3 linked regions of the Lonchura striata genome follow. The protein of the gene in region 1 interacts with the protein of each later gene in a pairwise test. Links are inferred from orthologs where the notes say so. Each region holds a gene or a part of one and is shown in the gene's direction. Other genes may lie near its edges. The genes, in order: SNCA, CYCS and CSNK1D.

Evidence for each region.
Region 2: the proteins of SNCA (region 1) and CYCS interact in binary tests that used the Homo sapiens proteins (3 or more experiments, as listed by UniProt). The link is inferred for Lonchura striata from reciprocal best matches to the Homo sapiens genes SNCA and CYCS.
Region 3: the proteins of SNCA (region 1) and CSNK1D interact in binary tests that used the Homo sapiens proteins (3 or more experiments, as listed by UniProt). The link is inferred for Lonchura striata from reciprocal best matches to the Homo sapiens genes SNCA and CSNK1D.

What each region holds. Positions count from the first base shown.
Region 1 is NC_134606.1:53,442,170-53,445,917, forward strand, and holds the start of SNCA (alpha-synuclein), read left to right. Parts: upstream 1-1,065; 5' UTR 1,066-1,272; intron 1,273-1,313; exon of another isoform or gene 1,314-1,438; intron 1,439-1,729; exon of another isoform or gene 1,730-1,884; intron 1,885-2,314; exon of another isoform or gene 2,315-2,432; intron 2,433-2,662; 5' UTR 2,663-2,687; coding exon 2,688-2,808; intron 2,809-3,748. UniProt on the Homo sapiens protein: Neuronal protein that plays several roles in synaptic activity such as regulation of synaptic vesicle trafficking and subsequent neurotransmitter release.
Region 2 is NC_134603.1:124,391,060-124,394,807, forward strand, and holds the start of CYCS (cytochrome c), read left to right. Parts: upstream 1-1,538; 5' UTR 1,539-1,673; intron 1,674-2,419; 5' UTR 2,420-2,427; coding exon 2,428-2,596; intron 2,597-2,741; coding exon 2,742-2,890; 3' UTR 2,891-3,748. UniProt on the Homo sapiens protein: Electron carrier protein. The oxidized form of the cytochrome c heme group can accept an electron from the heme group of the cytochrome c1 subunit of cytochrome reductase.
Region 3 is NC_134621.1:12,203,520-12,207,267, reverse strand, and holds the start of CSNK1D (casein kinase I), read left to right. Parts: upstream 1-1,380; 5' UTR 1,381-1,632; coding exon 1,633-1,708; intron 1,709-3,748. UniProt on the Homo sapiens protein: Essential serine/threonine-protein kinase that regulates diverse cellular growth and survival processes including Wnt signaling, DNA repair and circadian rhythms. It can phosphorylate a large number of proteins.

The sequences.
Region 1 (3,748 bases):
GTCTGAACACTGTTACACAAAGAAATAAAATCTGTTGCCTAATGCTTGGTTGATTAAAACTACTAGTAGAATGAAACAAAATAAAGTGTACCAAACAATACAGAAATATTACTTACAAAGAAACCTGACAAGAACAAGACCCTGCACTACATGTTTAGCATGAGAACCAGGGATGCATCAGCTGTCTGCACGGGATGATGGATGAAAGATACTCCTTGCAGCTCACAACCTGGTATCATCCATGTTCTGTTTCTCCTTTTGGAGTGCAATAAAACCCAAGCTGTTTCTGTAAGTCTTGCAGGATTTGAATTGATGTACTGAAACTGAAGGTCCATCTGTTCTAGTGCCTTGTCTCCTACTGGTCTTGGCTTTTCATGCTTAAATTCTGTGACCAAAATAGAGAAATTTGATAGGTTTCCCTTTCTGGGGAGAAAGTGACTTTTCTGCCTGAGTTTAAGATTTGGGTGGCAGTGGCCATGGATTGTGTGGAGGAAGATGCAAGCAACGGTGTAAGGGTTGGGCAAGTCTGGCCGTACTTCTCTTCATTTGGGATGAATACTCTTCTGTGTGTGCAATAGAGTTAAAACTCGAATTACACCTGCAAGAGCACCACCACCTCCCGTGCTTAAAATGAACTGGAAGCATGAATGTTGTGAGAACAGTGACATTGAACTGCAGTCATACAAGGTTGAAGATTGGGAAGTAGATGAAAAAGAATTAGAAGCTGGGGGAGATTTTGTAAGGCTTTGGTGAAGTGACTCGGGGCTGTGCCGCAACAACAGCTTCCTTACACTTCTAAGATGAGGCTCTCCAGCCCTTGGAGGGAGTGGTGACTGTGCGGAGTCCCAGGGGGACCAAATCGCCCTACCCACCTTTTTAACCCTTGCTTCTCTCTCCAGAAGGCCAGCAAACAGGTGCTCCCAGTTTATCACGCCTCCCACCGCACCGCCGCGCAGGACGTGACAGGGCGGGCGCAGGGGGCCGGGCCGGGGGCGCATCCTCAACAGGGAGCAAGAGCCGCTGCTCCTCCCCGCCGCGGCTCATCCTCCCGCCCCCCGCCCTCGCCTCTCGCCGCCTGCGGGGCTGCCGCCGGGGTGGTGCCAGCAGAGCGGGCGGGCTCCGAGCCTTGGGATGTGCTGAGCAGGGGCCGCTCCGCGCCTCGCTCGCCCGCAGCCGCGCCGCCCCCGCCTGTCGGAACGGGTCGCTCGCCGGTGGCGGAGGAGCCCGGCGGTGAGTGCGGGCGGGGCGGGGCGCGTCTGCACGGAGCCATAGGTGTGTATCTAATACCAGAGACAGCTGGATAGATCTGTCCCGTTGCACGTTCCCGTGTGGGCACGGGGGAGGGAGGAGGAGCCGGGCGCCGTGTCCGCCGTGTGCCGACGGCGTGTCCGCGGGAGCCCGAGGGTGCCCATATGGTCGCGCCGCTCTCCTTTCCTCGGTAGGTGCCTCGCCGCGTGCATGTATTTATATGTTTGTGTATGTATAAGCTACATATATGCGCACATACGCCCTGCTTCCTCCCTCCTCCCTCTGCAGGTGCCCATGCTCTTTGATGCACACCCGCGGTCCCCCGGTGCCCCCGCACCTGGTCGCGGCACTGCCCCGGGGCCGGGCCTTGGCACCTTGCCGGTGGAGGAGCCGAGGGTCCCGCGGGCCGGTGCTGCCTCCCCCGGCGCTCTGTGCAAGGCACCCACCCCCCTTCCCCATCCCCAGGGCGGCAGGTACCGTGGGCAGCTTGGCTGGAGCACAAACGCTGCCTTCCTTCGCACGGTCGTCACGAGTTAGTGGAAAGCTGCGACGTCCTCAGATGCCTTCCTAGACATGCATTCCTCCTACTCAGCCTCTGGCAAAGAAGAGAAGATAACAGGCAGCACTCATGTCTGTGTGGGTGGAGGAAGAGAAAAGATGACTGATAATGGATTTGTTGGAGGGACGGTGATTCTGGGTTTTAATTACTATTTAAGTGGTTTCGGTGTAGTACTGGATTGTATTGCTGTGATAGGACTCTCTTGGTAGCTTTAGTGCAGTGCTTTTAACATCCTGCGTTCTTGCTTTTGCTTTTTAGTAAAATATTTTCTCAGTTGTGATGCATGCAAGGAACCCATTCAGGAAAACTCAGTTTCCAAAAGGTTGATGTGGACTGTGTGTAAAATGCTGGACTAATGGAAATGCAGCATTTTTAATTTTCTCCAGTCCTGAGTTGTAATGCCATTTTCTTACAAGTGAACATTTGTCATTTATGAGAGGTTTTGATTTATGTGTTTTGGTTTTCAGTTTGGTCTGTTTGTTTTTAAGTTGCTGATGTTTATTTAAGTAGGCTTTTTTCTCTGGATGAGAGGTGGAGTGTCATCAAATCACAAGACTAAATCTTGCATTCAGCACATGAACAGAACTGTCCTTTGGGAGAAATGATGACTTCATAGGCAAGGAAGGTACTTATCTCAATGGAACCATCTTCCAGTCAGAACTCCATTATTGGTAACCTCTCCATAGGATTCTGTGGAAATGGGATATCTGTTTCATATAGCTATACAATTTGGGTGGTATAAATAATGTAATTTAAAAGTAATTGTGATCCCATTTGGTTAGAATATTTTTCCCCTTTCTGGGATAAAAAACCTTACTGAAAGTGTGTACTTTTTTTCTTTTTTTTTTTCTCTAGAGCTGTTTGAAGAAAGTCTTCAGCCATGGATGTGTTCATGAAAGGGCTTTCCAAGGCAAAGGAGGGAGTCGTAGCAGCAGCAGAAAAAACCAAGCAGGGTGTGGCAGAGGCAGCAGGAAAGACGAAAGAGGGAGTCCTGTATGTGGGTAGGTGGGCAGCAGAGAGCACGCTGCTGATTGGTGCACCCCAACATTCACAACTGGATCCTCATCAGACCCCTTCTTCTGCAAAAAAATATTTAATTGCTCATAGGAGACCATTGCAAAAGAAACAAGAGGAAATTTGTGCCTTCTTGAGCTCTGGTTCTTTGAAGCCAAGTGCCTTACAGTACAGGTCATTGAGTGGTATTACATGCAAGTCTGCCAGATCAAGGCTGAAGGGGTGGTTGGTACAGCAAAAATAAATATGAAAAAAATGTAAAAGCTGGAGGTGAAGGTAGCTCTGTAATGTTCTACAGAGCATGTGGGACTTGAACAGGATTTCAGGAGGAGACACTTGAGAGGTTAGCTCAGGACTTGTGTGGTAGACATGCCAACTGCTTGGTATGTTGACAGTAACATTTTGTATGGCAAAGTGCTATCTTTTGAAATTAATTTCATGTTGTGTAATTGCTATTGCAAATTCATGGCAAAAATTTTCCATGACTTCTCAAGGAAGTGCCTCTACAGTTAATGAGGTAGCGCAAGTAGACCCCAAAGTAGCAAAGCAGTTGTTAGTGTCTTATTCTAGGCCAAACTAGTATTCCATAGAGCCTGGGATAAAATTATTTTCAAACCCTTGAGTGGTACTTTCATTCAGGGTAGTCATCTTCATTTAGCAAGCACTGAGCTTTAGAAGAGTGTCTTGCAAATGCTGTCATGAAAAATGAACAGAAAAACAATCTGTCAAGACTATATATGAGTAAGTGGTTATTTATAAAAAAAAATTATGGCTCTGTTTCTCTTATTCATCAAATAAAGCTAGTCTATAAAAGAATGGAGGGGGAAAATATAGCCTTTTCTGTAGGTCATTTCTGTTGATTTTGTAGCAAGTCAGTTCTGTTATGGGAGATGTGCTCACATAACAGAGAGAAGTTAAAACAGAGCT
Region 2 (3,748 bases), on another chromosome or scaffold:
CTCTAGACACCGTGAGCTTTGGAAGGCAATGCACTGTCTAAACTAGGGAGTGATGATTTCTGAATGGTCTTGTGAATTATCTACAAAAATTCTGCCATCAGAGAAACCCCTGATGTATTTTTACAGTCCTCATTCCTTTCTGCTTCATGTTAACACTTCACATGAGCCCTGCCCCATGGGCAGTTCGAGGGGCACACCCATACCAGTTCCAGGACAACATAAAAGCACACACAGAAAATAAAATGTTTTTCCAATGTCAGACAGTGAAAAATTCTGACAGTTTTAATGTCCATAGTAAAGCAAACAGTTCAACTCTTTTGAACACTGGACATTACTACACTGGGCTTTTCCAACAGCTCTTCCTCCTTGCCGAGGAGGGTGAGATGGCAGGCATGTCTGGAATTCACCATTAAAATTCTGCTTGGAAGGCCACAATGTGTGAATATTGACATGTCCTCTTGGAGCACTCCCACACTGCTGGGCTGGCATTTGGGACGCTTTCATGCCTTCAGGCGGCAGTCCCCTCCACAGGGCTCTCGCCTGTGTCAGAGCGGCGCGGCCGCAGCCGGCACGGCCGGAGGGTCAGCCGCTGCCCTCAGCCCATGGCCGCGCCGTGCCGGCAGCGCCCCGCCGCGCTCTCCGGGGCGACTTCGCCTCACTTCGGCTACGGCAGCGCTTCCGCACCACTATTCCCTTGGCTCCTCTGGGAAAGCTTTTGAAACTCAGGGACAAGCTGGTGAAGGGTCTGGAGCACATGCCCTGTGAGGAGCAGCTAAATGAGCTGTGGGTGTTTGGCCTGGAGAAAAGGAAATTCAGGGGACACCTTATCCGCTCTACAACTCCCTGAAAGGAAGCTGTAGCCAGGTGAGGGTCGGCCTCTCCCAGGCAACCAGTGACAGGAGGAGAGAATACAGTCATAAACTGCACCAGGGGAGGTTCAGGCTGGGCATCAGGAAGAATTTCTTCCCAGAAAGGGTGGTTAGACATTAGAGTGGGCTGCGGAGGGAGGGAGTGGAGCCGCTGTCCTTGGAGGTGTTTAAGAGTGGACATGGCACTCAGTGCCATAGTCTGAAGGACACGGCGGAGTTCATTCCATAGAACGGACTCGAGGACGGAGGTGTTTCCTGCCCGCACCGACGCTGTAATTCCGTCACGGCGCCTTTTGCGGCCGCCCTCACGGCCCGACCGCCCCCGGCCGAGCCGGCCCCGGGCGCGGCTCCGGCTGCGTCACTGCTCGGGCCCCGCCCACCGCCCGGCCGCGCGCTCAGGGCGCCGCGCGACCCTTGCTTCCATTGGCGCTGTGCGCATGCGCTCACAGCACTCGCGCCCCTCTGCTGCGCGCCCCCTCCGCCGCAGATGACGTCTGACGTCACTGGCCGGGATTGGAGGGAAGAGGGGCAGGAAGGAAGGAAGTGCGGGGGCCCGCCGGTCTCAACCTACCCCACTAGCCGCCGGCGCCGTGACGTCAGCTGATTGCAGCCAATCAGAACTCCAGCGGCCGGCGCCTGATTGGTTGTCGCGGCGGAGAGGCGGGCGGTGCGCCGCGGGGTTGGTTGCGGCGGTGCCGGGTTACTTAGGGCGGAGTCCGCGTGTCCTTGGGCGCAGACGGAGCGGGAGGTGCCGGCGGCGCGGTCACGGTGTCTGAGGGCGCAGCGGGCCAGCCGGGCGGGCAGGTGCGGCCGGGCCCCGCGGGGTGGCGGCGGCTGGCGGGGACATGGGGCGAGCGGGCCGTGCGCTCGGCCGCCCTGAGGCCATTCCCTCCTGCCGCGGCCTGAGGCGGCGGCGGGGTGCGGCGGAAGGTCACCGTGGGGCCGGGCGGCCCACCGCGGGTGCGGGCCTGAGGAAAGCTCAGGGCCGGGCTGGGCGCGGGCAGAGCCGGGGCCAGGCGGGGCGGGCGCCCTTGGGCGCTCCCGCTGCTGACGCGTGGCTGCCGGCCGGACCCCTGGGGTCATCCCGGGCCGTGGTGACAGCCGGGCGCCCTCCCGCCCTCCCGGGTGCGTGGCTGGTGCGCTTTTTCAGCTGAGAGGAAAAGCCTGTCAGGTGTCCTGTGCTTTTACACGTGGTCGTTCGCGACTAGGGAATTCCAGTTACTGTTGTACAAGTTGCGTTAAATTTGTTCCTCAGAAATTGTCGCCGTACCCTTTAAATGCTGTGGGGCAATTAGTTTGTATGAGGGAAGGTTTTTCCCGCCCTTCAAGTGTGTTTATCACCTTGATACCTTTTAGGTCGTCTCGTGGGTTCATACTGATTTTCAAGCCCAGGAGCTGTGGCTTGAGGATAGACAGTGTGCTGGAGAATTGCCAGATTCATGTGCTGCTTATGTTGGTTTTGTAAACCTACGGGATGCTTTTTAAAAGTTTCAGCTCAGTCGGTGACCTTGAGGTTGCAATACTGACCTCTGTGTGTGTTCTTGGTCTAGTACTGACAATGGGAGACGTTGAGAAGGGCAAGAAGATCTTTGTTCAGAAATGCTCCCAGTGCCACACGGTTGAAAAGGGAGGCAAGCATAAGACTGGGCCCAACTTGAATGGCCTATTCGGACGCAAGACTGGGCAAGCTGAAGGTTTCTCTTACACGGATGCTAATAAGAACAAAGGTAAACTTAAAGCTGTCCTTAGGGGACAAAATTACTCAGTTCTTGGTGGTAATTTTAAAAATTTGCCAAAAATTGAGCAGAGGACAAGAATATATGTGTTTACTATTTTGAATTTATTAACTCTTCTCTTTTTACCTTCTTTCAGGTATCACCTGGGGTGAGGATACTCTGATGGAGTATTTGGAAAATCCAAAGAAGTATATTCCTGGAACAAAGATGATTTTTGCGGGTATTAAGAAGAAGGGCGAGAGAGCAGACTTAATAGCATACCTCAAAGTTGCCACTGCAAAGTAAAAGTTATCTGCTGCCTTATTTATTTCACAAAGGAGATGGCAATGGAAATGTCTGTGATGAGATTGGTTTTTAAACTTTCTATTTTTACATGTACTGTGTCTAACCTTAAAATCTGTCTCACCCATCAGATGACTTTGCTCACGGTGGGTCACTGGAGTACACACTTGTTTGGCAGCCATTAACTTAACAAAGACTATGTAATTGGGTACAGTCATCCTTGATCATAAAGATTAAAAGAAAATAAATAAACATTTCCTGCCTCTTCATTGTTTTAAAAAATATGTAAATAATCAAATGAGTAATCATTAACAGTGTAATAACTTTTGACAGCTCAACTCCTGAAGATCAAAAAGCAGGGTGCTTTTTGGCATCTTCTGCCATACATCTTCTGTTACATTAACAACAAAGGCTATTAAAAAACCCAATCCCAGTATAATATTTTTCTAAATTTAATCAGTGCTAGGTGTTGCAATATGTATTAATCTATCTAAAGCTTGTGATAAAAATGCATTTCATCTGATTTAAGTACTATTTGTGAACTGCCAGTTGTGCCCAGCCACTTGTCTTTTATCTAGGGGAAGCATGTTACCTAATTTATCCAGACTTTGACAGCTGCATGCACCCATATAATTCCCCTTCAGAAACATTTCCAGTTTTGATGTGTTATTGATGCCCTTTGCTCAGTAAATCTTCTGATAACAGCCATTCTTAGTGTAAGAGAAAGCATCCTCTTCTGGGAATACGTGTGCTAGTGGCCAAGCTGAGAGTTATTTAATCTTCTTAATTCAGCAGAAACATTCACCTAGAATTCATTGTTATTGAAAGTTTCAGATTAAGGGATACGGGAATGATTGTGCT
Region 3 (3,748 bases), on another chromosome or scaffold:
AATCTTCAAAGTCAGATGTGATCCATCTGCCATTTGTATCACTTGAGGATGCAGTAAATCTGGTAGTCTGGACTGGAGAGGAGGTGCCCCAGTGACCCAGAAATGCAGAGGCTGTAAGAAACAAATTGAAACCCTGACAGGACCAGTAAGGCAAAAGCAATACCCTTTGAGAAAATAAAGTTGTAAGGGGTTATTATCCCTTGGATATATTTATAAAAGATTTATAAAAGAAAAGAAATATTAGATTTATAAAAGATAAATTTATAAAATAAGGCCTGTTGAACAAATATGAATCCAAATTTAATAGCCTTATTTTGCCAGTTAAGAAGGCAAAGGGAAAGGACAACAGAGAATAGCCAAGGGAAAAATGGGCTGAGGGACAGAGAGGGAAGAAATTAAACATTAGGGCAGGGACCTGGAATGAGAGCATCCAAGAAAGAAAAAGTGTACTTAGAATATGAGAGAGAGAGAGGAAATAAAAGTTGGGGGGGACATCACAAAGGCCAAGAGGGTATATGGGTAGAATTCTAAAAAATTGGAAGACAGATAAATGGAAAAAGACAAAAATATCAATGGATTGAGATAGAAGATGAAGACAAGAGAAGTAGGGAAGAGGACAGAAGTCCAGAAAGCAAAAGAAAACAGAGAGATAGAATATGAGAAAAAGACAAGAGCCTGGAAAACAGGAGAGGGAGAGGTGCAGGAAAGCAGAAAAAAATACATCAGCAGGAGAAGGGTGGTAGGGATGGGATGCAGAAGAGGGGCAACATGGACTAATGGGTCCAGGACTCACCACAGCTCCCACTTACAGCTGCTGGGGGAATTTGACAGTTCAGATGTGTCTTTGTCTCTCCCTCTCCATCCCTTACTCTGTACTTCCAGAGACTCAGCTGTCAGCCACCTAAGACATCAATGTCTTACAACTTTTACAGTATGAGGCTTCACAAATACACAGCTTCACATGTGCACACACTACATGGTTATACATACAGGCCCTGCGGTGCTCTGCTTAGCACGACACTTATTAGACATTCTTCCTCACCCGGAGAGACAGAGGAGATCCCAACACTCCTCCCCAGCAAAAATGACATGGTTTTCCCCTGAAATTTGCGGGGTCACTTCTCAGACTTTGTCCCTGCACCACTCTCCCCCTCCTCGCCCTTCCGCCTTCACGATCAAAGGGGCGCTCCTCGGAACGCAGTGCTGCCGGAGCTCATCTCCACCGCGGGGACGACGACGCCACACACACCGAGAAGACTGCCGACCTCATTCGCGGCCCGGCAGGTGGCAGGGACGGCGCGGTGAGACGGGGCACCAGCGCCGGACGGCAGCCACGCCCCGCCCGGCGCGCGCCGTCCCTGCGGCAGCGCGCCCCGCCCCCGTCGCTAGGGAAGTGAGGTCACGCGGGATGGTGGCGGGGCGCCGCAGGGGCTGAGGGGCCGATCGCATCGGGAATCCGTGTCCATCTTGCTCGGGAGCTGCGGCGACCGTCTTGCCTGTCTCCTTAGTATCGAGCGGCGAGACCAAAGCCGCGATGGCATCCGAAACCGCAGGACTGTGAGGCATCAGAACGAGAGCCAGCAGGCCGGGCAGAGCAACAGAACGGTGTCGTGAACGACCCGAGCTGCCGCCATGGAGCTGAGAGTTGGGAACCGGTACCGGCTGGGCCGGAAGATCGGGAGCGGCTCTTTCGGGGATATCTACTTGGGTAAGGAGGATGGCTCGCAGGGGATTTAGTTGGCCGTTTTCTGGGTGTGTGGAGAACATCGAGGGCCTAGCCGGGTCGGGCAAGTAGCTGGGCTAGGGACACAGCAGCAGTAATTTAATATTTCGTTGACATCATGTCCTAATTTGGATAGTGCGGAAATCAGGAATTCTGGTTTACTCGGCTGCTTCTCTTCTCGTTGCTGTCTAGTGACCTTGGGCACCGTTCGAGTCTGTAAAATGGGCATAAGGGTAAAAATCGCCTCGTCTGAAAGAAAGGAAGGGAAAAAAACAAAATGATATAAACCCTAAAAACCCCACAACCCACCGCATTTGGAAAAACGTTTTGGGGAAGAAACGTACCAGGGTTAAATATCGCTGCAGTGAACTAGGAAAAATTGTCAGAAGAATGTTTATTCTACTTTGAGGCCTAAAAAAAATCACACAAATACAAGTGTTTAGGTTGCAGTAAAAAACCTTTAAATCCTTCAAATAATCCTCGTAGTTTGGCAAATCCTGTTGCTGACCATCACCTAACCGTGATCGCTCTACAATTGTAAAACGTACAGGATTGGAATTCTCTTTGCCAGTCCCTTATTATAGTTCTCTAACATAGCCTACTGCTGCTATTGTTTATGACAAGCTCAGGTAGTGGGTGCAACAGATTTTGAAAGCAGGTATTTTTAAAATGCTCTACATATTCGGCAAACTCTCAAGCCATGTGAAGTGGGTTCAATCCAAAGAAATATGAGCATTATGTCTCATCCAGTAGATACGAGTATTCTGCTTTTGAAAATTGTGTTAACCTAGAAGAGCAAATCAGGGAAGGGTGGGTGGGGGAAGGTGGAAGTTGCAGGGGCTAAGGTTCATTGACTGTGGAAGATAAAAATAATGTCACTTGCTGGCTTATGTGGTACGTTTGGCAGTGCATGCAGTATGAGATGTGGGGGTTGTTTTTCTATACGTGTTGCAGTGCACAGCTGCCATTCCAAAATAATTTTTTACTTAAAGCTGCTTGTTTACAGATCATGAAATACTCATTATCCATTAGACATATCATATGCCTGATGAAAAATATGCTATTTTAACTGAAGGTATGTGATTGTCTAGAGTCAGAGAACGTGATTCTTCCTTTCTGCAGTGCATGTATAGAAGATTGAAGATGTGACTATAGAAGATTGTCATAAAGCTTGTGCAAAAATTCTTGTTAGCTTCCATTTGGATTTTGGGGGCAATTAAGACAGCAGTTAAAATCTGAAAAGTCTTAGATAATTTGAATAATTTAAACTTTTGACTACTGCTCAGGTAAATCAGATTGTAATACAGTATTAATATCAAGTGCAAGTGAAATAAACGTTTATGTGTCACTTTTATCTCTATGAATGCAGCTTACACCAGTGAAGGTGCACAGAAAGTAATAGTTTGCTGTATGCTAGTGTATATATTAATGCCATACTGAATTCTGTGCAATAAATCCTGTGAGTTTTACATTTTTTTATTTCTAAACAATTGTCCTGGATTTACTCTCAAGGCTTACTGCAAATGTCATGCCATTTACGTGGAAGCATGGCTCAGGCATGGAGCTAGCATATAAGTATGTGAATGGAAGATCCAGCTGGTGGCATGGTTTTATTTTCTCAGGGGAAATTATTGTCTTTCAAGAACTGAAGCGTTTTATAGAGTCCCATTTGCTTTGCCTACAATTATCTGGTAGAACAGATGTTTGAAAACTGGCTTTTGTGATAACGAAATGTGGAGTTTTAAAAAAAATCCAGTTACTGCTCTGCTGTTCAGACTGTACAGTAGACATAAGTGTCTTAAAATAATTTATAATGTTATTTCAGAAGGCAGTATTTACTTTAAGTAGACGTGCCTTCTGATAGGCCTCAGTGAATTTGTAGATTATTTCAGCATACATTCCCAGCTCAGTTTTATGCTTTGAAAATGAAGATTTGACTATTTTTGCCTGCTTCCAGTCCCCAGGTTTTGTCTCAAATGCAGCTACAAGACATTTCAGAGTAGAGAGGAGGGGCGTCCTCTGTTT